Linked DNA regions of Rattus norvegicus. The protein of the gene in region 5 binds, or shares a complex with, the protein of the main gene of each other region. Links are inferred from orthologs where the notes say so. Each region holds a gene or a part of one and is shown on either strand. Other genes may lie near its edges.

Region 1 (3,321 bases), on a different chromosome or scaffold from region 5:
AGTTTCTTCAGTGATTTTGTTATTGTTTAGTCAATGATCACTTTAAACTTACTGATCACAGTTATACATTTTATTTTAAAGTTAATTTGACAAGAAAAATAAAAAATGATTATTATGTCACTGCAAGCAGGTTTGGGTTTGAGAGAGGCTCATTCATCAGTGCACACAGCATCTACACAATTGGAGTTGTAGCCAGAGATGTTTTTGGCTAGTTTGTTTGTTTGTTGTTTTGGGTTTTTTGCTCATTTTTATTGTTCTTTTGAGACAGGATCTCACCTCATTATGTAGCTGGACTTGAACATATAGTCCTGCAGCTTCAGCTTCCTAAATCCTGGGGTAGAGACTTTGGCCCTTTGGTGATTCCCTAATTGTGTCTACGTGTGTGTGCGCGTGTGTGTGTGTGTGCACGGGTGTATGTATAAATATTTAAATCCACTTCTGGTAATTCTTCACCTGTAAAATAAAAATATCTAGCCACATTTGTTCTTCTGAAATGGTAAGTAATTGGAAGCATTTCAGCATGATTTTGTTTGTATAATGGCTCCCAATAAACTTTGTGGATTAAAGCTATAATACAAAAAAACTCCTCCTATTCCTGTGTGGCCAGTAAATAGATGAAAATGAAGGCTGGGGAAATTCTTATTCTGTGATTTTAGGAGTTTGCCTGACAGGAAGATTGGAGAAGAAGATTTCTTCTTTATGCCGCACTGTCTGCAGAGTAAACTCCTTGACATTCCAGCGTTCCTTGAGAACGTCTTTGGCAATCAGATACAGTGGCTACTTGTCTGTGTTGAGCTGTGGCTTTCCCAGTGACACAATGCATGCCCTTAGTTGTTCAAAAATGTTTTTAATTCCCAGCGTTTAATTAACTTGGAGCTTCTTGGGAAATTTCATTATGTAGTAGCTCTTACATATACTATAGAAACCTTTATAAGGAAGAAAATAAAGAGGGTGCACTCCTGGTTCACATTTGACCGCATACCTTCCCTTTAAGTCTCTTTTCTTGGAACTGGGGTCCAAACCTGGGCTCCTACATGCTAGACAAATACTCTAGCAATGAGCTGCATCTCCAGCTCCTCTCTTTCAAATGTTTGTAAAAATAGATGACAAGAAGGGATGACTTTCCCATTTGATTTGTGGGGAGTTGTTGGTAACAAAACTATTATACTGTCCTTATAGGCCAGTGAACAATATAATTATAATAATTACATAAAACTGATCATAAATATTTTAGAATCTGTTTAAAAATATAGCATACCATTTAAGATACAGTGTTATAAAAACATTTTGAAGCAATTCCTTATAAAATTCCTAGACAAATAATTGATTTTTAAAAGTCTAGTTGTATGGATTGGTGATGTGGTTTAGTGGATTAAGGTGTTTGTTGCCAATCCTGATGGCCTGAGTTTGGTTCTGCAGCCCACATGGTAGAGTGAGAGGACTAATTCTTGAGAGTTGTCCTTTGACTTCCACATGTGTTGTGTGGCATGATGCACGTGCACGCACACACACATACACATGCACACACACACATACACATGCACACACACACATACACATACATGTACACACACACACACACTCTCTGTAATTATGAAGTATTTTGGGTATTTAATTTTACTAATTTTCACATCACTGTTGATGTTTCCTTTATAGTCAAATTGTGAATGGGAAACAGTGGTATACGGGAAGACAGAAGACCAACTCATCATGACTGAACAAGCAAGAAGATACCTGAGCACTTACACAGCTCCCAGCAGCACATCGAGAGCTCTGATACTCTAACTGTTACTGAAGCTGATGAAAGGCCCCACCCCCTACTGTGCTTATGCTAAATTAGGTTGCAATGAAATTTGTCTCAATTAATTCTTTTAAAGGTTTTAATACATCCCTAAAATGGTTCGCGGTTTTTTCTATATTGAACAGGCAAAAACCTAATAAGCCACTTAACGTAAGGGGTAGGCAAATTTATTATAAATATATTTTTAAGAAATGAGAGTTTTAAAGCTTGTTTTTAAAGAACAAAGTGGGAAAATAAGGATGTTCATGGGTATTCCAAAGTCAATTCTCACGTTAATTTCTTTCCAGGATATATGTCGCTACTTTCTCAAGGCCGTAGTCTGTTATAAACAAGTTAGGTGTGCGTGGCCTCTGAAAGTCTGTGTTTAGGAAGCACAGAGGCTTTATGAAGTACTTTTGCATGTGTGCTGATTTACTTAGAGAAACACAGTGGGAAGGAGCCTCAAGGAAGCTAGAAGTTGCACTACTAATTTTGGTATTTTTCAGAAACAATGAAATTAACTACAGTGTTAAGGATATTTATTTGTGCATAGTACTAAAAAAGCATTGAAAAAAAGGCTTTTTCTTACTAGTAAAGAGTCAGTATTTCTTCATAAGTCTCAGAAGAGCTGAGAATTTTGTTGAATGTATTGTACAGTATGTAGGAGCAAGAAAACTTTGTAAATTGGAAAGATGTCTGTTTTTATAACTTATTTTCATTTTTAAAGCTTAAATGTAGATATTTATATATACAGGGTGTCTAGAAGCCAGTGTTGTTTCTTGCCATTACAGCTAACATAGTAAAGAATAACTTTGACTTTCAAGTATGAAATAGTTAAGTTATAGCTTCAAAGAATACAATATCTATACTGTATGTCACATCTACCTAAATATTGCACTATATCCTTTAAATCATGTTGGTTATAAAGTAGTTCTAAAATGTACTAAATAATAATTTAATATTTTCTTTTTAAATTATATTGGAGGGTCATATAAATTAATCTGGTGATTTGTATATGTGTTTGAAATTTTCATTTTGTTTAAAAAACAATATGGTACCTTGCTCCCTAAAACAGTCTGCACTTAGAAGTTTATTGTATTTACTCAATGTTTCAGAAGTAGAAAATATTATCTTTTATTTATACAAATATTTTGTCCTTTTATAAATGTTTTGTGTTTCCAGGTTACAATAGTTGCTTCAGTTGCCTGTTTAGGTGTTTGCACTTACTTTATCTCTTTTTGAAAGAATGTCTTTGCTTATGTGGTAGAGATTTATGTAATTTTTTGAGACGTATAATGGTGTGCTGTCAACCTAAACACTGACAGGCAGATAGAATTGTACACTGTAGTTTGAATTATTTATAATTGACACACTCTCTCCCTCTCCACTCCTGAAGTATGCTGCTATAGAAAGTAGCAGAGTCGGCTTGCTGCTATGAGAGATGGAAAGAGCAACCACCACTTGCACTGTGTGAAAAGATAAGCAAATGATGGCCAGTTCTCAAGTTAACTAATGGATTCAACGATTCCCAAGCAGGTTCT
Region 2 (4,265 bases), on a different chromosome or scaffold from region 5:
TGCTTGCAAAGTTCAAGATGGCATTAAAATGGCCAATGAAACAGAGAAACTCACCTGCAAAGTGAACAGAACAGGAATTTTCAGAGCAACAGACACTCACACTCCTTAACAGTTCAGTGATTAAGCTACAGAAAAATAAAAACTAGTTTAATCTGTTTCTACAGAATCTTCCATTAGTGTTCTCTCTCTCCTTTTCAGGTAGATGCCCATTGCCTAACATGTTATTTTACTCTCAGGGAGTAAAATTATGCACCTTTCGTTACAAAAAAGGAATCCATAAAGAACAGAGACACATGAAAACTTAAGTTTATTTTCAAGGACTTACTAGTTCTGAAAGGCAGCAGTAAGGCACAGAAAGTAACAGTCCAGTTTCAAACATTCAAACTTATTTGGCAGACCTAACCCAGAACTTTCCTAAGTTTAGTGTAACAGGCACACATTCGGGTGGGAATATTAGGGTTACCATCTATAGTCTTGAATATTTTATGGCCACTCAGGGTATCTGATGAGAAAAGTAATACATTTCTATATTTGTGATTTCACAAAATTAAAGATTCTCTATTTAAAAAGATAAAGTGCATGTTTTAAATTTTCCACTTAGAAATTTATTCTAAGTGTAGGACAATCTTTAACATGTATTATTAGAATGTCTTAATATTTCACAATGATGTATTATGAGAAACATCACTAGGAATACTTCAGTGTAAGTCATTTTGATACATAAAATTTTATATGTATTTATATACATAAAAAGTAGAAGTATTTATAGGTAAAATGTTTCTTTTTTTAACCTAGCAAAAAGAATGGTACATGGGTCTCTGTAAGTCATTACTTATTATTTTAAGTAATTATTTACTTATGACTACAGAAATCTTTGAATCTTTAGGACAGATCCAGATAACAGAAACAAAGACCCTTAAATATCAGAACCTGCTGCCATACATGTGAAGGGGCCGAGTTCATTATTTTCTGAGGTTTGAGCATGTTTCAGGACAAACCATCAAACCCCATTTTTACTTGGAAAGCACCAAAATTCTCTGGCTTTTTTCATGCAGTCATCCAGTACAGCTGTATTTAACTTTAAACAGCAGATTTCAATGGGTGTTTTGTAACATCAGGTGTTTCTCTGCTGACTTCATTAATGCCAGTGAAACCATACCATTTCAATTCATTACAATTTGAGTCCTATAGATGTCCATTAAAGCCCTTTTAAGTAGAGGAAGAGGTCGGAGTGGAGGAGAATACAAGAAATTTTCAAAAGTGGAAAAAAGTCCCACAAATGATGTTTTCAAGTAAGAACGGACACCAACTGGCATCTACACCCAGGAAAAGGGTGGGCGGTTGGGAGGGGAATCCAAATGCCAACAAGCCAGCGTCCCCCACTGGGCCACGAACAGGACACTCAGCAGTAGAGTTCTGGAAGGCAGGCTTCTCAAGCTCAGACTCTTATTTCCAATGTCTTGGCCACTGTTTTGAGGATGGTAACAGTTTCAAGCCAGGAAGGTAAGGTATGATTCTCAAGTCTCTAGATGCTGTGAGGAGTTTTCTCAGACAGCCAGGTAGAGGAGTCATAAGAGAATCACAGAGTCATAAAATCCTCTGTGATTTTAAACTAGCAAATTTATTTATTTGTAAAGTATTGGCTCTTTCTGAACCTCCGTGTACTGGCTGAATTTTAATTCGCACGATCCCATATTGTTTCCCCCTCCCTGCGCTGTGGAATCCTTCCAAGTCTTGCCAGGAACGGTTAAATCACTATGACTGAACAGCTTTAAATGCACGTTGTTGTTGTTTGAAAAAATCCGAACCATAGCAAAGAACGAAGCAAACATCCTTATAAAAACCAGATAAAGTTGACTAAGTAATTCCACCCATTAGTCTGAAAGTCACAAAACGGACCCCTCTCCGTGTGATCGCAAATCTCAGGTCTAAAAAGTAGAAAGATTCTAAATTAAGTCAACAAATCCAATCTCACTTCCTAAGCATCGATGAAAAATTTCCCCGTCTAAAAACTATTTTAGCGGAGGTGGGTTAAGTTTTCTCTTTCCCTCTTTCATTCTGAAAAACTGGCATGAAAGTTCTTCAAAACAGGCACGAAGTCCCGCAGAGCGCTCCATTAAGACACCAGTTTCCAACAGCAAACCAACCCTAAGTGAGCCTAGAGCAGAGCGCGAATTCCTGGGCTCTCGGAGCGCTTCTTTGTGGCCAGGGCCGCGCGGTGGCCGGTAGGTGGGGGCCCCCGCATCCACCCCGGCCCCTCCACGTCCTAGGTACCTCCGGATCCCGAGTCTCGGCCGGCGTGTGAGCGTTAGACCCAGCTCCCTCAGGCCTCGCCCTCCCCATCCCCATCCCCGCCCACCGCTCACCGCTTTGAGATCCAGGACGCCGTCCTGCGCCTCCTGCAGCAACGACACGAACTTGGTGGTGAGCAACCCCAGGCTCTTCTCGTGCCGGCTGCTGCCCCCCGCGAGCGCCGCGGACTGATGGGAAGAAGGCGCCCCATGCGGCGGCGGCGGCGGCGGCTGGGCCTGGGCCTGCGGCGTGGGCTGAGCAGAGCTCGTGGGCTCCGCCGCCGCCATCACCGCCGCGGCCCTGACGTCCGCTGCCCGGGAACCCCTCGGCCGCCGGCAGAGGAGGTGCGCGGACTCCGCTCCGGCCCGCGGCGCTCCCCGCGTTCACCAGTCCCTGGAGCCGCGAAGCTCGCGCGCGGTACCACAGAACGCGCCGCACTACAGAGCGCGCGGACTCTAGCGAGCGGCCAGTGCCGCGAGGGTGGGCCTGAGTTTAAATGGCAGGAAGTGACGCCGCGCGGCGTTGCCTAGTAACGTACTCTCCGCGGAGGGGCGGGGCAGTCGCGTTCCCTCGGGCGAGCGGTGCTCAGGACGGTCTATAGTCCTGCTTAGGACCAGCATGCAGTCTAAGCCTGGAGCTCTCGAGCATGTCTCTTTTGCATCAAATCAGGTGCAAGTATTCTAAGGCTCGTCGCATCAATAGAAGAACGCGGCGTCCCCGAAGGCTTTTGGACTCTGATCTTCAGTCCTTTCCAAAGACTTTTCTGCACACACAGAAGGACTCGAGCCTTGAAAGTGAAGGTGGTAGACTCCGTCCTCCCCCCCCCCCCCCAACTCCAACTTTTGCCTTACCTGCTTTTAAGTAGCATTCTTTACAAAAGTTATATTTTTGCCCAATACTTGTATTATTGGGACACTCTCAACATATTGTACTTTAGTGATATAGGAAACTACGGATGTATAGTAAGATCACAGATCTGAGAGGAGAAAATGAAAATGTGTTCCCACATTTTGTTTTTTACTTGCAAACTTGAGAATCAAGATTAAAAACTTCAACAACTTGGGTGCATGAGGTGGGTGGGGGTAGGTGGGGAGCACCCTCTCAGAGACAAAGGGAAGTGGGGGATGGGGTGAAGAACTTTTGGAGGGGGTACTTAGAAGGGGCGCAACATTTGGAATGTAAGTAAATAAAATAATTTAAAAAAACTTAAACAACTTGGTTTTCGCACCGGTTGACTATCGTTCACACTGAACAAATAGTAGGTGACTACAAACATTTTTTGGCAGGAATTAATGAAGACATATCCTACATGCAAGAATGCCCAAATTAAGAGTAGAGGGGGGATCGAGAGGGGAAATGGACAGCATTAACTAGTAAATCTGAAAACCAAAATTTTCCAGAACACCGGAACAAAACTTCTTTAGGGGAAGCATTTTTTCTTCAAAGCTGCAACACTTAAAATCCCCACCTGCCCCCAATCCACCTGCAAATTCTGTTCCACTGAGCCTTTCCTTATGTTCTCCCTTTAGCCCTTCGTATTATTTAGTCTTTCTGGGTCTTTGGACTATAGCATGATGATCTTTTATTTTACAGCTACTATCCACTTATAAGTGAGTATGTACCATGTTTATCTTTCTGAGTTTGGGTTATCTCACTCAGGATGATGTTTTTGAGTTTCATCAATTCATTAGCAAATTGCATGTACCGCTTATTTTTAAATCCATTGTTCGGTTGAGGGACATGCAGGTTGTTTCCAGTTTCTGGCTATTATGAATAAAGCTGCTATGAACATATGTGATCAAATGTCCTTGTAATAGGTTGTAATTTTCTTTGGATATGTACCAGGAGTGGTATAGGTTGGTCTTGAGGTAGACTGATTCTCAATCTTCAGAGAAACCACTACATTGATTTCTTTTTTTTTTTTTTTTTTTTCCCCAGAGCTGGGGACCGAACCCAGGGCCTTGCACTTGCTA
Region 3 (4,285 bases), on a different chromosome or scaffold from region 5:
CACAAACCTCAGTTCTTTGAATTGTTTACTTTTCGTTAGTTTAGATTTGTGTAGGGTCTAGCATTCCATAAATTCTGCATCCACTGGCATTTACACAATGGCTGCCACCATTTCTACAGGCCCCACTTACTTCTCCCCAGATTACTCTGCTTGTTTAGTTTTGCCTCTGGGAGTCACTGTGTGAACTTTTTATACACATAAGCACATCTCCTGCCTTAGTCGAATTTAGTATCATCTCAGATAAAACCACCCTGGATTTGAAGAAGAGCTATATGCTCTCTTTGATTCTAGAGACCTCACACATCTAGCAAAACTGGCCTTGCACCACATCCTTCCAGACCCTACCTTTTAGAAGTCTTGTTCTCAGTAGACCTCCACAGACACCAAGATGAACCTCAATTTAAAAAAAACAAAACAAAACAAAACAAAAAAAACCGACAAAAATCCTACCAACACTTTTTTTTTTGCTAGTAAGAAAAGGATGTTTTAGGGGGAAAAAAAAAATCACACATGCTAGAGAATCTCTTTTATTATGAACACAGTTCCTTAAGGTATGTGAATGTGTTCAAAACTTAAAATGCAGTTAAACCTGAAACTTCGAAATCAAGTAAGAGGCCAGGCATAGTGGTACATTTTTTTTTCTTTTTTTTCTTTTTTTCAGAGCTGGGGACCGAACCCAGGGCCTTGCGCTTGCTAGGCAAGTGCCCTACCGAGTGGTACACTTTTAATCCCAGCATACTGGAAGCACAGGTAGGAAAGCAAGAAGATGGTGAGTCTGAAGCCAATCTGGGCCATACAGTCAGACCCTATCTCAAAAAAGGAAAGAAGGAAGAAAGGAGGGAGATCTGGTAACATTATTTTTAATATAATCTAGTCATGCTTTTTAGTACTAAAGACTGAACCTATTGCCTTGTTCATGATAAGCAAGCTCTCTACCACTGAACTACATCCCTACTTTTTATTTTTCATTTTTAGATTTATTTATGTGTATGACTGTTTGTCTGCACAGTATATATGTGGAGCACATGCATACCTGATGTCCATGGAGGTCAGAGTCACAGTTGTGAGTTGCCATGTAGATACTGGGAATAGAATCCAGGTCTTGGGGCTAGAGAGATATAGCTCAGTGGTTTAGAGCACTGGCTGCTCTTCCAGAGGTCCTGAGTTCAATTCCCAGCAACTACATGGTGGCTCACAACCATCTGTAATGGGAGCCCTCTTCTGGTGTGTCTGAGGACAGCTACGGTGTATAAAGTACTCATATACATTAGATAAATAAACCTTAAAAAAAAAAAAAAGAATCCAGGTCTTTTGCAAAAGCACCAGGTACTCTTAACCACTGAGAGCTATCTCTCCAGCCCCCTGTATCCTCACATTTTTAAAAAGATTTATTACCTATACACTGTTCTGCCTGCATGTACCCCCGCACACCAGAAGAGGGCACCAGATTTCATTACAGATGGTTGGGAGCCACCATGTGGTTACTGGAAATTGAACTCAGGACCTCTGAAAGAGCAGTCAGTGCTCTTAACCGCTGAGCCATCTCTCCAGCCACTCTTCCCTTACTTTTTAAAAGAAAACTTTTTATTTGAAGGTGGGTGGTGGTGGTTTGTGCCTTTAACTCTAGCATTTGGGAGGCAGAGATAGGAGGAGCTCTGAGTTCGAGGCCAGCTTTGTATAAAGAGCAAGTGCCAGGACTACACAGAGAAACCTTGTCTAGGGTTAAAAAATAAAATAAAACAAAACCCAACAACTGCCAACTAAACCCCAACTTTGTATTTGAGACACATTTTGCCTACAATTCATTCTGCAGCCTAGACAAGCCTGAAGCAACAATCCTCCTGCCTCAATCTACCAAGTAGCTAAAATTAGGGGTCACATACCAAGGCCAGTTTCACTTTTGGATGAACGTTAACTTATTTATGGCCAAATGCTTTACAGGCATTATTCTAGAACCTAGGATTAAACGTATGAAATAAGACAGACTTGGAATTTATAATTGGGTGTGGCCCGGGCAAAGTTAATAGACAAGGAATATACTGAGATACTGAGTAATGACAGAAGAGAATTCCAAATGCTAAAGCAGAACCGCGAGCAAAAGCATACGGGTATAACGAAAACACCTATTTACCACCTGAGACGAAATACAAGCAGAATTGTTCCTGCCCTCAGTCTAAGGAAACAACACATGAAGTAGAGGGAGTGATGGTTTAAGGGTTGAGAAGCGTGCGAAACTACATTAACAAGGCTAATTTTCATTCCCTCGGGAATCAGGGTAAGGAAACCAGGTCCCCGGTTCCCTGCTGCCAAGGCAACGGTCCTGAACTGAGGGGACAAGCATCCTTCTCTCCCGGCTTGGTACAGGGATGAACCCTAGACCTCATGTCAGTCACCACTCAAAGCTATAGAGCTTGAGAGACTCGTCTCAGCTCTACTGAGAACAGAACCAACACTCCAATGGGCCTGTTCAAAAAGAAAGTTCCCTCCCTTTCCCCTCAGCATCACCGATGGGCCGGAGCGACCTCTGTCCTTTTCCCGGATAGGGTCTCACCGGTTGGTGGCCTCCTTCACCTACCTAGTACACAGCGGGGAGACCTGGTACCAGGCACCTGCTAGCTGAAAAGCCGACACAGCCCAAAGAAGAGAAGTGGGAGAGAAGGAAGAGGGGCCCAAGAAAAAAAGCGTAAGCGTGAAGGCTGTGGAAGTTCCCAGAGGAGCAAATAATGAGACTACAGGCCAACAATTTCCAAGCCGGCTCTTACCGTCTGTGGGAGACGCCATCTTCCAGCCCATGTCACGTGACGTGGCCAACCGTCGGCGGGAAAGCGAGGATCCGCAAGCCACGCCCCTTACAGGGGTAACCTATCCTTAACTCACAGCCCGGTCTCGTTTCCCTATCTCATAGGGTAATATTTGCCTAGTCCCACCCTAGACAGCAGCCCTACCCGCGAGTGGTAGTTAAGGTGAAACTCAGGCAAAATTCTTCAAGGACTTTATTTACTTTCCTTAGCAAAGGGGCGGGACCTTGAGGGCCTACCTATAGCCAATCGGAGTTCTCGGTTAGGGGGCGTCTTCCCCGTGTGCTTAATATGCAGTACCAAGTCTAGGGGGCGTCTCCCTATCTCCGCCAACAAAAATAGGCTGAAGTCAGAGAAGAGGAAAACGCTTCCGCCTTTGACCAATCACCTATCCCCAAGGCTGGGAGTGATGGGTGGAGTCAAGAATCCTGACACATGATTGGTTATGAAAAGTGCCCCTTCCCTCCAATGGAGAGGCTAGGTTGTGTTCGGGGCGTAGCTTAGCGCTGTAGCTTCTAGGGAGGCACTGGCAGCGGAGGCGCGGGGAGCTGGGCAGAGTCTGGTGAGCCATGGCGGCGGCAGTGGCGGCAGCAGCAGCAGTGCGGTCCCGGATCCTGCAGGCGAGTGAGGGTGGCGACGAGGGACCATGACGTTAGAAATGGGTCCTTTCCGCCCGGTCTCTAAACCATGCTTCTGCTGGACAGATTTCTTGGCCCAGACCCTTCTTTGCAGACCCTTGTGTTCCACCAGACCCGTGTGTTTGAGCTGTCACTCCGTATTGCCTGGCCCGGGAATCCAGCCCCGGACGGTCACGCCTGGCCCACCCCACTTTTACTCCTGATCCTTTCCTTTTCTAGCTCTGACCCACCCACCTTCAGTCCAGCTCAGTCTTTGCTATCACCCGCGGGCTTGCTTTCTCTCATTGGTTCCTCCCACGGACTCCCTTTCACCTCTGTGCCAGCCACCTCTGGGCCCCAGAAACTCCTTTTGGTTACTGTTTATAGAATACTTTCCTTTGCCAGGAGCGTCCCTTCCCCCATCCAGCCTCTATGTGAGGTAAGAGGGGGTAGGAACATGGAACAAGGGTCAGAGAAGAAACTTTGAATCTCTAGACATGTACCCTGGCTTTTCACATCAAAGGCAGCCATTTGCTAGCGTTTACCAACTATTCTGGCCCTTAGTGTTTTTTTCCCAAGCTCTGGGCCAAGTTAAACTTTCTCAGCGAAGTTAAACTTTCGAGATAAATAAGGGCGTTATTGTTTTGCTAACGCTACTAAACATTCCCCAAACAGGTGGTAGAAGATGAGACCCTAGGAAGACACGTTCCCAGAGTCAGTTCTCAAGTGCCAACACACCCTCCACTCTTCTAGGCTACGATTTTAACCGCACAGAAAGAAGCCAGCCCAAGGGAAGTTGTAGAGCTACAGAAGCCTCAGGCCTGTGGTCCCGGCTTTGATTATAGCCTTTCCCATGTGTTTGCATCGTAG
Region 4 (2,448 bases), on a different chromosome or scaffold from region 5:
CCATAGCTAGAGAGATCGTTGATCCTAGGGGAGAACTTAGTACTGTTGCCTTGCTAATTAATATGCTTATCAAACTGCCTCCTAAATTTTCATGCTTACATGTTGCTTAGAGAAAATGGCAGGAGTCAATGCAGAAATTCCTGATAAACTGCTGAGATTAGGTTGAGTGCTCAGCCCAAGGTTCAGGAAATATAACTAAAGAGGGTATACAGAAATATTGTACAGTGGCCTGTGGGTTCTGATCCCAGGCCTCCTACTATGGCAGTCATGGGTAGAACTGAAGAAGAGAGATCACCAAGAGGCCAGTTTGTTGAGGAAGCATAAGTAAAGTCTCACAACAGGCCATTCTGATGTTCTGCTTCCTGAGTCAGAACTCACCAGACATTCCAATCTGTTTCCTTTTTACAGTGTTTTGACGCAGCCATTATAGATGGGGAGGTGGCAAACTTGGCTGTTTGTTTTGGTTCTTTGATTTAAATGACAACATAGAAAAAAAAATTGTACAAACCATAGGATGGGAAGAGTGTTGTGAAATACTGTCTTTTGGATACAACATGGCCATTGTACTGTGAACTCACAAGCATCTATGGTATCTATACAAGACCAAGCCATCCAACTAGCTGGAAAAGAGGCAGTCACTTTTCTTTGGATCTGTGCATACATGGAGTGCTAATTAGAATGAAGAGAACATGAAAATGGAAGAGAAGGTACTAGGAGGGCAAAGGGGGTCATTTTGTAAATGGTCAAAAAGAGCTGATTGTGGCATACATTCTTTAATCCCACACGGCAGGAGGCAGAGGCCAGCCTCGTCTACAGAGTAAGTTCTGGGACAGCTACATAGAAACCCGGTCTTAAAAAGGACAAAACAAAAAACAAAAACAAAAAAAAAAACACCCCCACATTGTATAGATATCTGAAATTACCAGTAGATAAATAAGATATAGATAAAATGTTCTAAAAGATTACTATAAATCTAAAATTAAAATGGTGTATAGTTTTTGGTGTGCTGAAGATGTAAGAGGGATGAGAAGGTACTAGGAGGGCAAAGAGGGTCATTTTGTAAATGGTCAAAATATAGAGAGCTGGCTGTGGCACGCATCTTTTAATCCCATACAGACTTCACAAACTTTACCTAACCCATGTAAGGTGGGTAGCAGAACTGGGATGATACAGAGGTATCTCAAGCCTGTTGGTGATTAGAGCTAGCTGATAAGAGTCCACAAAGAACTTGAAAGGCAAACTGGAAGCAGGATGGTTAAGTTCAGTTGAGGTGTCCACCAGATATGCAAGTCGTCTATGGCAGGTGTATAGGAGACTGGGTAAAAGATCTAGACTATGTAGAGGCCGAAACTCAAAATCAGCTCCCTAGAGCTGAGGCCCACCCCAGATATAAAATGGTAAGTACCAATGTTTAAGGAAGTATCAGATGCCAGTGAGGCAGAAAAGCCAAGAGCTGACAGTGAAGACAGAGGAAAGAGCATCAGAAGAGACCAAGAAAGCACCAGGCCTAGACTCTTAGAAACCTGCTGGGCCAGGTACTACACCAAGAACAGCACAGCTACAGCCCTGTGGTGGAGGATTAGCTGACAGACACGGGTGACCAAGGATTACTTTTTAAAGGCATTCATACGTAGAAAGGAAAACAGAATGGTGAGGTGAGTACGAAGAGCAGCAAATCTCAATTAGTGAGGCTTAGTGATGCTCCAAGTGGTGGCAGGAGGGGGGATGAAGTCCCAGAAACGGGCAAGAGGCACAGGCACTGACCTGGAGATTAGGCATCCTTGTCTGGCTGGCAGAGAGCAGAGGTTAGCAGGAAAGGAACTGCCAGCTCCAAGACTCTCCTTGCTGGCCCCCACCCCTCAGTAAGTACTCACCGCCTGTGGGGTCTGCCTTGATGGGCTCAAAGGAGGTAGAAGGGTTGGGTCCAGATGAACTGCTGCTGCTGCTGCTGCTGCTGCTACTGCTGCTGCTGCTGCTGCTACTATCCAGTAGTGCAGAGGACTGCAGAGGTCGAGTGTCCAGTGCTGTCAGGCCCAGTGGGAGTGAACTGAGTTCACCACTGCCCTTGTTCTCAGTTCCAGGGCTACCACTCACTGCAACCACATCCCCAAACCCAAACACAGAGTCAGGAAATAGACCCTACACCTGCCATAGGCTAGATCCTATGACCAGGATGACCACAGTGCTGGTAGCCAAATCCAAGGAGACTTAGTCACCACTAGTTACCAAGAAGCACTAGAAAACATCATTAAAGATAGAGCACATGTCCTGGAGGAGGGAGACTCATGGGGTTGCCAGGATCCATCAGACACTGTCCAATCTGGGATAAACTACCCTACTAATGCTGCCTATATAGTCAAAGCTTCCTTGTTAGAAAGGGCATATTCAGGCAAGTGAGATCCTCGTGAATTAAGACACTCATGGACAAACCTGACCTGAGTTCAAATC
Region 5 (4,231 bases):
ACTCTTCAGACTCCCCCTTGCTGCTGTCACTGCTCTGCTGATGCTCTGTGGTTTATCTCTTCATATTACCAGTCTAGCTTGTAAACCGTCACCTGAGAGGAGTTCCTATTGGATGAAAGACTCTCCCAGCTTACTGAAAAAGTTAGCCAAATAGCTTGTTTATATAGTCAGAAATGGGGTGTGGCAAGGATGTTTGCACCAATCACAGCCTTTCTGCTCAGCCATTACAGATGCTTCCCCCTCCACCCCACCCCCACCCCCTCCCATCCTGGGTGAAGATGGTTACTAGAGCTTACTAAAGCTTGTGATGGTAAGAGGTCTGGTGCAAGCTATTGAGATACTCATGCCTTGGGTATTGCCTTCTGGAACGGTAGCTGTGCTTTAGCAATAAGCTGCTGTGGTTACAGTGTTGCTTCCTCAAAGCAGCTGAGGAAGAGTTCTAAACAGGACAGCAGCTTGAGGACTGTTCAGTCAAATGCTAACTCGTCTGACCAAGGAAGCTAGGTAATAGAGAAAGATCTGTTTGGGAGTCAAATTTGGCTTCTCCACCCCTCAGAATAAAATTTGGTCGCTCACATTAACAGTTGTCTGATAGTACTGAACAGCGCTCTGGTCTTTAGTCCCATATGCTTGGGAAAAGTTGGGTCATTTTATCTGAACCACTTGGACTGATTTGCAAGCCACAGTCTATTCTTCTCCCAGGCTCTCCAGCTTTAGTCTTACACATACATACACACACACACACACACACACACACACACACACACACACACACCTGTCTTTCAGGCTGCTCCCTCTGACTGCCCAAGTTCAGGCCCTGTGGCTGTGGAGGTCAATAGTTGAGCAGAGGTGGGGGATCTTGTCTCTGCATTGTCCAATATGCATCCTAACAGCCTTTACTTTGTTCTGTATAAATGTACAAGACTCCTCCCCCTGTGGTGCACATGCAGGTACTTTAAAGCACGCTCAGAACTGGTCATTTTTTTCCCTTGTGTGTACACACTCACCTATTCTTTTCAGTGTGCAGGCATTAAACATAGGTATCCATATTTGTATGCACAGAGGGTTCTCTTCTATATATACGTCCAGGCATGCACACACACGACTCATACTCCATGAATACACACGTGTCTGTATAGCGAGACTATGGATATACACAGGTGTGCACACATCATCCTTTCCCTATGTGTACATGCAGGTATGGCACACACCACAGACTTTTCACCGTTGGCGCGCGTGGCACACACACATACACACAGAGGCAGACACGTGGCCCTCTTCTCCCTGCGCATGCACACAGACATGCATACAGTTGGCCCTTGGTGTACACACACAGAGGCGCGCACACACGTGGCCTCTCTCCGAGCGCACATGGAGGCGCGCGCAGCGCTTTTCAGCGTCGGCGGCCGCCACACGCGCACGCGCGCACAGGTCCCTCCCCTATCCCAGGGCGGGTAGCACCGGCGAGAGGCGCGGGAGATGAGCGGCGGGAGGAGGAGGAGGAGGAGGGCGCCGAAGGCGCGAAAAGGCGCGCAGGCGCGCTGCGCGGAGCGGGCCCGCCGCCGCCCACGTCACCGCGCCGCGCGCACGTCACGCCGGCCCGACGCTCGGCCCAGGGTGAGCCCGCGTCCCGGCGCCGCTGGCTCAGGGCAGGGACCGCCAGGGCCGGACCTCCGGGCCGGCGCCCCCGCGCCCCCGTCGTCCGCCCCGCGCGCCCCGCCGGCCAGCCAGGTGTGGCGGGGGCACCGGCCGGTCGCGGCGGGAGGGCGCGGGCTGGGCGCGCGGCCCCGTTCCCGCCCCAGCCCGGTTCCCGCGTCCGGTCGCATCCCGCCCGCCGCCCAGCCTCAGCCCGGAGTCGGCCTCGACGCGGCGTGGCGTGGGCGGCAGGCAGGGGTCCTGGCCACCCTCCGGCTCTGTCCGCGCCAGCGCGCGAGGCTGGTGGCCGGGCCTAGTGACAGGTGGGGCGGCCGGGCGGCCGGGAGCCCACCTGTCAGAGTGGTCGGCGGCACCTCGGGGTCTTGGGCAGCCCCGGGGCCTGCTGCAGCCCGGGCAGAACCACGCAGTGTCGTGTGCCTAAGTGGGGGGCCTTGTGACTCGGTGGGGCCTGTGGTCAGGCGGGGCCCGCGTGCCCAGGTGGGGTGAGCCTGACGGCTGCGCCTCGCTCCGCCAAGGGGCCGGGGTCTGGCCCCTCTGCGGGTGGGAGCTGCTGGTGCCCGCAGGGAGCATTTCCATTTGGAGAGGTGACTTAAAATCCCTGTGTGGGACCTGCTTGGCTAGCTCTCCTGTTGGGATTGTGCAAGAAAGGCCCCTGCTGCCTGGAGGCCTGCCTCGTGCTGGTGGGGAGATGTTTCCTTTGAAATGCGATGTGCGTTAAACTTCTTTTTTTTTCATTCTCATTCATTACTCGTCCCCTTCCTTTTTACCAGATAAGTCCGGTTTCTTCTGTGGAGGGTACGCAGTTAAAGCCTTGATTTCCTGGATCTGGTAACATGGCAAAAGATGTAAGTATGAGTTCTGCATGCTGCAGACATGTTAGCATAGCTCGCTGCAGTTCTCTCCCTTTATTTGAGAGTGGCCATACCTGCGTGGCAGTGGTTTGCTCAGACATTTTACAGGCAGGAGCTGGGATGGAGGTGAGGGGTGGCCAGTCAGTAGGTGGGTGCCTCCCCTCCGCACAAATGTTCTTTGTCATCTGAAGCCTGGCACGTTTTTTTTTTTTTTTTTCTTTGTGGTTAAGATGATGATGTCTGGATTTTTCTTTAATCTATCTAAACCGCTTGAATACAAAATTTGTGTTTGAATGCATCTCCCAGTTGAAATGAACGTGTGAGGGGGGTATTTTGCTAGTGGGTTTCCACGAAGGAGAGCTGTCAGCATGCAACTTACGATGCATTATGCATGAAACTTAACTTGTTTTATGTAGTATGTAAGACCGTAATTCCACTTTGATGGGTTGAATCCCAACTACTTGTTTGGGCACATTTTTCTCTCAGAAAGATGACGTTTGGTGGTTAATGAAACACGGAAACGCTGGTTGGTTAAGCTTCGTATTTACTACAAAGCTACTGAGCATTTGAAATTTCTTTTTTGAAATGGGTACTGACAGTTAGGCTTTTAGGGGGCAAAAATACAGTCTGTGATTTTGGTCACATACATGTTCGCAGTATTACTTTATAACTCCCTCCAACACTGATCGTGCCTGTGCCAGTGTTTCAGCATTCACTGTCCTTTGACTATTAGATGAGTGTAATTTTCTGTGCAGCCCTGAAAATGCAGGCAGATAATACCACATCAGCTAGACTTGTACCCAAGTGCACTGAAACTGTGGCGCAGGTACCGAGTCTTGTCCTGACTTAGAGGCCCAAGGATTTAGTCATGCCTAGTGGCCCACCTGGATCAGACGGTGTCCGTCTTATGGTCATCAAGCACTGGACCTGCTCTTGGGAGTCGAGTTCCACCCTGAGAGACCGTGTGTAGGTCACCTGAAGTCACAGCTGTATGTGGCGTGGGGCTCGATTTCGTTATGTCTGTTGTTTGCCTGCCTCCACGTCCTGACTCTTCCCCCCGTGTGTGCCTAAGGAGAGACGTGCCGCTCAGTGCGTGCCCACAAAGTAGCTAGGTCTGGTAAACGGTGTGTAAGCAGGGCACTGGCTCCCGTGCCTTCGTTGAGACCCCATGGCCTGGTGTGGTTTCGGGGATCATTGCATCTTCTTCAGTGATCTTCAGTGAGTCAGCATGCTCCAAGTCCTGTCACCTCAGTTTTGCATCATGCACTCCTGTGTGCTGTGTCCCTGGGGAAGGGGTGGGTGGGTGGGTAGACACCATGATGGCAAGTGGTCAGGATGTCCTATCCAGTGGAGAGTGTGAGGCCAGCTGGTTTGGGGTTAGCCATTGTGGTATGGTGAGGCCAGTGCTGTGACTGGGTAAGAGCGCTGCTGCTTTGTCCCTCCACAAGTGCGCACAGACCTGGGCAGAGGCGAAGCGGCTCCCCCTGTTCTCTGGCTGGAAGTGGGGGTTGCAGGGTTGGGCCTTCCCTGTGCTTTTTCAGTAGGATGCAGTATTGGGGTTTGGAAAGGGACTTTGTAACCTGTGCTGAAGGGTAGGAAAGAGGCACCACTGGAGCTGTGTAAGCACTTGATGCTTAAGACGAACTCTGGCTGTAAAGTGCACTGTCGACATGGGGCTCGGAAGGCCATGACGCTGGCGAGAACAGAGGGGCAAAAGTCACGCT
Region 6 (3,500 bases), on a different chromosome or scaffold from region 5:
TGAGGGTGGTGAATCCTGCCTATAACCACATCACTTGGGGAGCTGAGGCATGATTGCTATAAATTTGAGGTTTACCTGAGATGCGTTATGAGATCCCTGTGTTAAGAAAGAAAAGAAAGGGAGGGAGAGAGGGAGGGAGAGGAGAGGAGAGAGAAGAGAGGAGAGAGAGGAGAAGAGAGGAGAGAGAAGAGAAAGGCTAGTGTCACGTTCAAAGCTTCTCAGATACAGGGAAGTGAAAATCAGAATTACTGGTCTCCATCAGCCTAAAAATTGGTTTCAGTGCAACAGAATTTTCTTTTTTTTTTTTTTTTTTTTGGTTCTTTTTTTTTTCGGAGCTGGGGAGCAACAGAATTTTCTTAAAGATTGGCTGTAGATCCACAGGCTGTAATTAGGGTTAATTAATATTTTCTAAATGTCTCCGTGACCACTATGCAGAGAATACACTACAGCCCAGTTTTTCAAAAGTAAAGACTACCAGCAGGGTGCATCTGTTTAGATAAACAGTCAGTTTTCTTTTCAGACCTAACTAAAACCTTTGAAAGTTGGTACTAAATGAAAAATAAATCAGCACGATAACCTGAGTTTTCTTTTAAACATTTAAAACATAAATACAAACGGGATTATGAAAAGACAACAGAAACCCGTTTTCCTCTCACCCCAGCCCTATTTCTCCCAGGACTTGGAAACATGGTCAGTACATCACACAAGGCTCAGCTATTGTCTGCTTGGCTTGACCCACCTTGTCAAGATGCTGCTGCAAGATGTCTCTCATCTGCGTTCGTTCGGCACTCTCTGTGCCCGAGGCAGCACTTACACACCGTGAGAGAGTTCCAACTTCCTCCTCCGCATCCTCGCCAAGAAATATCCGCTCATCCAGACTCCCAGTGGCTAACACGTATTCTTCATACGCCTTATTAACAGCCTTACTGTGGAGAAACAGGACCGCCTTCAGCTTGTGTGCCAGACCACTCGGCAGTTTACTACAAGACCTGGTAAATGTCTCAAAGGCATTTATTTCTGTAGAACAATTGCTCGTTACAAAAACTGAAGAGAAGAAGTAGCTTGCTTTTAATCTGTGTGACGGGCACACACTGAATATATTTTCAACAGTGCGTCAAGGTAGGAGCTAAGCAAACCTGCCTCTAATAGGCTGATAATAATTACACTAATAATAATTAATAATCATTCGACATGCTAAACTGAAGAAGAAACAGCTGTGGTCCTGAGTGACAGCTGTGGTCCTGAGTGACAGCTGTGGTCCTGAGTGACAGCTGTGGTCCTGAGTGACAGTTGTGGTCCTGAGTGACATGCAACTGGTAGATGAAGCAGGACCCTCCTCAGCCGCTCTTGGACCTCGAAAGACCAGGTATGGCCACATCTATCACCTCTAAAGAGCCAACTACATGTCTTCTTTCCCTTTTCTTAACTTTTTCTTTTCAGACGAAATAGCCTCCACCTCACAGTCACCCTGCCACATGTCCCAAGTGCCGTGTGTCCTGATGGCTAGGTGCAAAAGCATAATCTCTTTCGTCTTCTTTTGAAAAAATATCTATTTATTTTATATATATGAGTACACTGCAGCTGTCTTCAGACACACCAGCAGAGGGCATCAGATCCCATTACAGATGGTTGTGAGCCACCATGTGGTTGCTGGGAATTGAACTCAGGTCCTCTGGAAGAGCAGTCAGGGCTCCTAACCTCTGAGCCATCTCTCCAGCCCACAAGAGCATTTCTTAATTTTGAAATTTATAATCCAAATTCTTGAGTAATAAAAACTTTGAGCAGAACGAAAACAAGTTTCACTCAGCTTAAAGACGCACTTATAGAAGTTTCCAGACCTGTTGTGGGTTTTATGAGTTCTACCCTAAAGCATTAAAAATGTCCCGAGTACGAACAGTACAAACACTGAGCACTCGGTCACCTCACAGGGAACTTGAATTACCAGAGCAAGCCAGGCCTGGGGAGGCAGAGGCAGGTGCATCTCTGAGCTGGAGCCCAACCTGGTCTACAGAGCAAATTCCAGAACAGCCAGGACTGCAGATCGAAACCCTGTCTCAAAAACACTGCAGCATAAGTACTCACAAGCTCTCTGCGAAGTTCCCGGGCTCCAGGAAGCCAGTGAGATTTTCTTCCTTCCCCCTGAGGAGCTACGATGAAAAGGAAGGTCCCTAGGTTACATGCGGCCAAGTCTTTAACCTGAGAACAACAACCGTGTGCCGTTAGAAAACAGCGCTGTGCCGTTATGTACGGACCTTCTTTTCAAAAAGCTTCCTAATGTAGGGTTTCCAGAAATGCTGCTTTATCCCCTTTGCCTCCAGCACTAGGCCGTCGTGTAAGGAGCAGAGCTTCTCAATGACACACGGTGGATCAGAGGACGGGTGAGAGTCCCTGGGGTGGCCGTCCTCGGACACGCCTACATGTATAAAGTCACAAAATGGAGTCACTGGTCAGCACCAACTAGCTAGCATTCAATACACTGAAACACACATGTTAGTCTGCTCAGGATACGATCAAACGTGTAACTAGTTTACATATAACTCAGAAGATGGCGAGAGATAGAGTGGGAGATGGGCATGCAGCATCCCTGATACACACAAACCAAGAGGCTCACACTTCCTCAACCTACAGCCCAGTGCTCAGGAGGACTGTCATGAATTAGGATGGCCTGAGCCATAAGGTCCCATCTCACATAGAGAAAGGACTGCATACACTATAAATTAAGTAAATATCTTTTAAAATTGTGGTGGAGGGAAAGTGTATCACGACTCAAAAGATGAGTCATAGCGAGTTCCACAACGAGCAGAGCTGCAGAAACCCTGCCTCAAACAAACAGGCAAGCATTACCCATCTCTGTCTGCTGAGAGGGCTCAGCAGGTGGACACATCTGCTTCCAAGCCTGACAACCTGTTTGATCTCTAAGACTCACCCTGTGAAGGAGAGGGCAGAGTCCCCAAGCGTCCTCTCACCTGTACATGTATACTGTACAGCCCAGGCCTTCCCCTTCTGCCTACATTAAAACGTGACAGTTTTTAAAAAGACACAGCTCACAGATGATCAACTTTGACTTGATCATATTAGACATACTTATAGTAATTTATAGTGTGCTCTTTCATAAGAACATTTAAAAAAATCAAAGAGAATGAAAGGAAACAGAAACAGAACAAATAAAAATATCAGTTGGAAGCCACAGATGTGGCACAGGACAGGGTACCATGTGTTCAGTCCCCAGAACAAAAGGTAAGAGGACAGAATGAAGAAGAATGGGGCAGAGGTCAAGGGCTCCCTGTCTAAAACCCTTGGCCAGGATTTAGCGTTTCATCTTTTGAATTTTGGATTATCTACACCATCTTTATTAGATGAACGTGCAGAACCAACAATTCTTTGGTGAAATCTAAAACTTTATTTTTCTGCTCTCTTGTTTGGTCTACAGTCCTGAAGATTAGACTTGGCGCCAGCCAAGCAGTCTGTCACAAGCTCCCTCTCAGGCCAACATGTCCCAC
Region 7 (4,274 bases), on a different chromosome or scaffold from region 5:
CCTTGTGCTTGCTAGGCAAGCGCTCTACCACTGAGCTAAATCCCCAACCCCAAGCCTGTCTTTTACAGACTTAATGTATGGTACTACATACTGTCCACAGTAAACAAGTACTACATTATAATGGAAACATCAGCTTCTTGCTGTTACCATTTTGAAACAGGGTCTTTGTAGTGCAGGCTGGCTTTGAACTCAAGACTCAGTATCCTCATTCTTGCCTGCTTGGATTATAAGATGTCAGTTAACCAAAATAGGCTGTTGGTGTTTTAATTTATTTTTATTTAACTAATTTGCTTTTTAAATTGTTTTCTTTTTAAAAAGAACTTTGTGTCCGTATGACTATATATGAACATGGGTACCCAAGGACAGGAGAAGACAATATCAAACCCCTCGAAACTGGAGTTGGTCATCTGTGACCTCAGTGTTGGGCTGTGATCAAACTTAAGTTGTCATATAGAATAGCAAGTGCTTTCAATGGCTAAACCATCTCTCCAGACCAACTTCCTTTAAGGTACAGTTTCACTCTAGGTAACCCTGGCTGGCCTTGAACATGTGGATTCTCCTGTCTCTGCTTCTCCCTAGTCAATACACCCCGATAGGATCTATAAACACACACACACACACACACACACACACACACACACACACAGACAAGGTAAAGGTAGGTAGGGCAGGAAGAATGTCTGAATTGCAGAGGTGTAGAGAGGTACACAGGAAGCACCCAGCAAGTGCTCACTGGGTGGAAGCCAAGCCTGTAGCTTATTTCAAGGACTGCCCCCCCACCCCAAATTCCAGAGCAAAGTCAGTAGAGGCCAAAATCCAGATTTGCATTCCTGGCCTTTGGCTCCAGGATGGTGTCAACCTCTCCCACAGAAAATGTTTGCTGGGCCTTAAGTACCGTGGGGGAAGGGGATCCTTAAGTACCTCTGCACCTAGCACATAATGGGGACTCACGAACTCCACAACTTGAGTGAATGCAATGTTTAGTCAAATGTAGAATATCTGCCCAGGGCCCAACCTTCTACCTACTGGTACAGGCCCGTGGAGTGGAGGGAAGGCAAGCCAGCTGACCCACCAAATACTGGCCGGCCTCCTCAGTGGGAGGAAAGGGCTTTAACAATCAGGAAATACCACTCCCTAGAAGAATGATTAAGAAGTTCCATCATTTGTGGGCTTCAGCCTCCTCATCTATGGAAGGATGAAAAAGTAAGGCTGTCCACAGGGTTAAGTGGGTAAAGTGCTTAGCACAGAGCCTGGCACCCAAAACGTCCTCAAAACAATGGTGGTTGCTATTGTTATTGTTATTAGCATCTTGGTGATTCCGGAAGGAAGGCAGCACTGGGCACTGGGCCAAAGGGGGTATGGGCCTTCTCTAAGATGCCTCTGGGACCAGCTGCCACCCGCACCCCCACCAGGAGTTGAACAGTTTCTACTCCGGTATTGGGTCTGGCCCCTCCCGCTTGCTCCAAGCCCCCTGCTGTGAACACCTCCTGCTTGCTCCACCCCTACAATAAAGTTGGTGGCCCACTGGCTGAGCTGGCCCCTGCTTAGATCCAAGTTCCACTCTCCACTTCCGCTGCCTTTTCTAGGCCCCCAGCCTAAACTGGTCTTGCTACTTAGGATCAGGAAAAGACTTTATCCAGGGATCTCCCTCCCACGTCTTCTCTCTCCAGGAACTGGAGGCCCCTTCTCAGGGGCCCAGCCCACCCAGTCTTCCAGAGTCTCAGGGGTCTGTCCGCCTGATTAATAAAGTTCCATGGCAACCAGGGGCTGGAAGGGTGGCAGATGGAAGGACAGGCAGAGGAAGGGTTGCAGCAGCTGGCCCAGCACCCCGCCCCTGCAGAGAAGGCCTCCCAATCAAGAGGCCTATCCCCAGAGGCCTGGAAGGCCAGGCCTGCACCTGGCAGAGCCACGAAGGAGGGTCTCTCGAGGATGTCTCCAACAGTCACCCTCTTTCATCTCCATCAAGCAACTGTGCGCACTAACTAGCCATAGGTTCTGCAGCAAGCCAGCCGCCATCAGTTCAAATACCAGCCCCACCATCTGCAGCTGCGTGAAGCACTTCCCTGTCTCTGGGCCTCAGTTCCTCCCTCTGGCAGATGGGCACGTGACAACACCCAGCTCACAACAGAGTTGAGAATTTTGGCCGACTTCAAGTGTGCCAAAGCCTGGGCGTGCAATAAGCAAGCACCAGCTGAATACACGTGAGCCATTATCATTAATAAACCTGCCGCTCTGGTGAAGACGCTGAGGCCCAGAGCAAGGCGCAGCAAACAGACAGGGCAAGGCAGTCAGTCAGCGCGCGCCCCGGGGCGGAGCCCCGAGGCCCAGCCCAGACTCCGCACCGCCCAGCGCTGCAGCCCGCCCCTCCCCCGCCCGCGCCTAGGGTCCGTACCGGCGGGCGGCCGAGAGCCGGGCGCGGTGCACTAGGCGCGGGTCGGGGCGCCTGCGGCGTTGCGAAGAGCAGCACGTCAGGATCTCGAGGGCCAGCGGGCGGCGCGGCGGGGCCGGTGGGGACCTGCGGGGCGCCGACATCGGGCGCGGTGGAGATGATGACGATCTGCGAGGAGTCGAGCAGCCGCAGCGCGCCCGCCCCGAGCAGGGCCTCCAGCGCCGGCGCGTGCTGGCCGCCCGCGGGGGCTACGGCCATGGCACTCACGGCCCGCGTGGCCCGGGAGGCAGGCGGCGGCGGCGGCGCGGGCCCATGACGGCAGGCCGCGGCGAGGGCTCGATCCCGCTCCGCCCCGGCCGCCGCTGCCTGCAAAGTCCGGGCCACTTTTACGCGCCAAATCCTTTTTGCCGCGAAAGAGCCACGCGCCGCCGAACGCCTCCTCCATTGGCCTGCGTGGCTGTGACGAAGTCGGCTTCGGTAGCAGACATTGGTTGCAGCGTGCGGGGCAGGCGACGGAGGGTGGGACCAGGGGCGGGGTGGCCAATCGCGGGGCGGGGCGCGCGCAGGCTTTGTCCGGGCGGTGCCGGGCGCCTTCTCCCTTCTGCCTCTCGCTGTGCCCTGCAGGGGGCGTGGGCAATGGACCCCGCCCCCTTCACCGCCCACTCGATGGGTGGCGGGGTCTGGCGAAGGCAACAAACTTCGTACTTGGTTCTGCACGTCCCGCAGTCTCCACATGCCGCATGAGCCCCTAAACTCTCAACCTGTGGTCTCCACCCCCTCAGTTTACAGTCCAGAAACTGCTTCTTCTGCACGCTCAGGCTCACCTCCAAAGTTCACTTCAGCCACATCTCCGGTCTTAAGACCCACTTATTCCATTAGTTCACATCATGGGTTCTTCCCTGTCACCCAGAAGCCAAGCCCAAGAGGGGTGCCAGGAAATGAGTAGGGATGTGTGGCTTTGATCTCAGTCTCATTTTACTGAAATTCCTTTAGTAGCCAACGCCCAGTTATCGTTCATTCGTTTGGTCAGTCCACAATGGCACCTGTCTTTAATCCCAGCACTTGGGAGGCAGAGGCGGGCGGATTTTCCAAGTTCAGGCCATTCAGGACTACACAGTGAGACCCTGTCTCAAAAAAATCACAAACGCCTGAGAGCCTGTTTATTGTCCCATACTCAACCCAGACCTTGACTCCTGACTTAGTGAAAAGGAAAAAAGGGAACCGAGAGGCAGCAGATGCTTACAATGTGAAGAGATTGAACTAAGTAACTCCACGTTAGGCCTCACAGAGGGCGGTGCAGGGGTGGGGAGGGTGCATATGGAGGGATCCTTTAATCCTGAGGTCCTCCATCAGCATTTCTGATTGCTCAGGTCAGCCCATCTGATCAGCATTGTGGTCCTCTCTGACAGGCATCTTGCCAATACTGGGAATCGAAACACGAAAGGTTTAACAAGACCTACATACTTCCTGCCCTTGCGGGTGGGGATGACCACAAGAAGAGTAGCTGACAGGGGCTGGGGATTTAGCTCAGTGGTAGAGCCCTTACCTAGGAAGCTCAAGGCCCTGGGTTCGGTCCCCAGCTCCGGAAAAAAAAAAAAAAAAAAAAAAAAACCAAAAAAAAAAAAAAAAAGAAAAGAGTAGCTGACAATATTCAAGTCCCCAAGTCCAGTGTAGGCTACAAGGAGCTCTCAAGCCCGGGTACTTTCACTATCACCTCATACTACTTTATCTTCCACGCATCGGTTAACTTTGAACCACCCAACCTTGGTCAATTTAGAATCAATCCCAGGCCGCCCCCGCCCCCCTTTTTTTTTGTTTTTTTTGGGGGGGGTAGTTTGTTTCTTTGTTTTTTCGAGGCATGGTCTCATTGTCTGGCTCTGGCTGT

The links.
Region 1: Tfdp1 (region 5) and Mybl1 share a complex: the UniProt entries of both Homo sapiens proteins name them as parts of the DREAM complex. The link is inferred for Rattus norvegicus from reciprocal best matches to the Homo sapiens genes TFDP1 and MYBL1.
Region 2: the proteins of Tfdp1 (region 5) and E2f5 are in contact, whole or in part, in a crystal structure (PDB 5TUV), measured with the Homo sapiens proteins. The link is inferred for Rattus norvegicus from reciprocal best matches to the Homo sapiens genes TFDP1 and E2F5. Residues at the interface, in NP_009042.1 of Homo sapiens: Glu201, Cys202, Leu205, Glu208, Arg209, Arg212, Leu213, Arg215, Ile216, Lys219, Gln220, Leu223, Leu226, Ile227, Gln230, Phe233, Leu236, Val237, Arg239, Asn240, Arg241, Arg249, Pro253, Ser255, Val256, Ile257, His258, Leu259, Pro260, Phe261; in NP_001942.2 of Homo sapiens: Val126, Arg129, Leu130, Lys134, Glu136, Ile137, Leu140, Glu141, Glu144, Leu147, Asp148, Gln150, Lys151, Leu154, Gln155, Ser157, Ile158, Val161, Met162, Ile166, Asn167, Asn168, Arg169, Phe170, Ser171, Tyr172, Val173, Thr174, His175, Asp177.
Region 3: Tfdp1 (region 5) and Lin52 share a complex: the UniProt entries of both Homo sapiens proteins name them as parts of the DREAM complex. The link is inferred for Rattus norvegicus from reciprocal best matches to the Homo sapiens genes TFDP1 and LIN52.
Region 4: Tfdp1 (region 5) and E2f4 share a complex: the UniProt entries of both Homo sapiens proteins name them as parts of the DREAM complex. The link is inferred for Rattus norvegicus from reciprocal best matches to the Homo sapiens genes TFDP1 and E2F4.
Region 6: Tfdp1 (region 5) and Rbl2 share a complex: the UniProt entries of both Homo sapiens proteins name them as parts of the DREAM complex. The link is inferred for Rattus norvegicus from reciprocal best matches to the Homo sapiens genes TFDP1 and RBL2.
Region 7: the proteins of Tfdp1 (region 5) and E2f1 are in contact, whole or in part, in a crystal structure (PDB 2AZE), measured with the Homo sapiens proteins. The link is inferred for Rattus norvegicus from reciprocal best matches to the Homo sapiens genes TFDP1 and E2F1. Residues at the interface, in NP_009042.1 of Homo sapiens: Glu201, Cys202, Leu205, Glu206, Glu208, Arg209, Arg212, Leu213, Arg215, Ile216, Lys219, Gln220, Gln222, Leu223, Leu226, Ile227, Gln229, Gln230, Phe233, Lys234, Leu236, Val237, Arg239, Asn240, Arg241, Glu244, Pro251, Ser255, Val256, Ile257; in NP_005216.1 of Homo sapiens: Arg202, Leu203, Leu206, Thr207, Asp209, Leu210, Leu213, Gln214, Ser216, Glu217, Leu220, Asp221, Leu223, Met224, Ile226, Cys227, Thr228, Gln230, Leu231, Leu234, Asp239, Ser240, Gln241, Arg242, Leu243, Ala244, Tyr245, Val246, Thr247, Cys248.

The regions. Positions count from the first base shown.
Region 1 is NC_086023.1:14,396,768-14,400,088, forward strand, and holds the end of Mybl1 (myb-related protein A), read left to right. Parts: intron 1-1,656; coding exon 1,657-1,785; 3' UTR 1,786-2,821; downstream 2,822-3,321. UniProt on the Homo sapiens protein: Transcription factor that specifically recognizes the sequence 5'-YAAC[GT]G-3'.
Region 2 is NC_086020.1:88,731,344-88,735,608, forward strand, and holds the start of E2f5 (transcription factor E2F5), read right to left. Parts: upstream 2,801-4,265; 5' UTR 2,580-2,800; coding exon 2,367-2,579; intron 126-2,366; exon of another isoform or gene 55-125; intron 1-54.
Region 3 is NC_086024.1:109,828,764-109,833,048, reverse strand, and holds the start of Lin52 (protein lin-52 homolog), read right to left. Parts: upstream 2,801-4,285; 5' UTR 2,794-2,800; coding exon of another isoform or gene 2,782-2,793; coding exon 2,763-2,781; intron 1-2,762. Other genes in the region: Aldh6a1 (methylmalonate-semialdehyde/malonate-semialdehyde dehydrogenase [acylating], mitochondrial precursor), read left to right, coding at 3,368-3,418.
Region 4 is NC_086037.1:50,087,335-50,089,782, reverse strand, and holds part of E2f4 (transcription factor E2F4), read right to left. Parts: intron 2,094-2,448; coding exon 1,875-2,093; intron 1-1,874. UniProt on the Homo sapiens protein: Transcription activator that binds DNA cooperatively with DP proteins through the E2 recognition site, 5'-TTTC[CG]CGC-3' found in the promoter region of a number of genes whose products are involved in cell cycle regulation or in DNA replication.
Region 5 is NC_086034.1:82,900,367-82,904,597, reverse strand, and holds the start of Tfdp1 (transcription factor Dp-1), read left to right. Parts: upstream 1-1,431; 5' UTR 1,432-1,617; exon of another isoform or gene 1,618-2,240; intron 2,241-2,426; 5' UTR 2,427-2,489; coding exon 2,490-2,501; intron 2,502-4,231. UniProt on the Homo sapiens protein: Can stimulate E2F-dependent transcription.
Region 6 is NC_086037.1:32,079,412-32,082,911, forward strand, and holds part of Rbl2 (retinoblastoma-like protein 2), read right to left. Parts: intron 2,414-3,500; coding exon 2,253-2,413; intron 2,148-2,252; coding exon 2,083-2,147; intron 927-2,082; coding exon 740-926; intron 1-739. UniProt on the Homo sapiens protein: Key regulator of entry into cell division. Directly involved in heterochromatin formation by maintaining overall chromatin structure and, in particular, that of constitutive heterochromatin by stabilizing histone methylation.
Region 7 is NC_086021.1:163,532,764-163,537,037, forward strand, and holds the start of E2f1 (transcription factor E2F1), read right to left. Parts: upstream 2,801-4,274; 5' UTR 2,648-2,800; coding exon 2,393-2,647; intron 1-2,392. UniProt on the Homo sapiens protein: Transcription activator that binds DNA cooperatively with DP proteins through the E2 recognition site, 5'-TTTC[CG]CGC-3' found in the promoter region of a number of genes whose products are involved in cell cycle regulation or in DNA replication.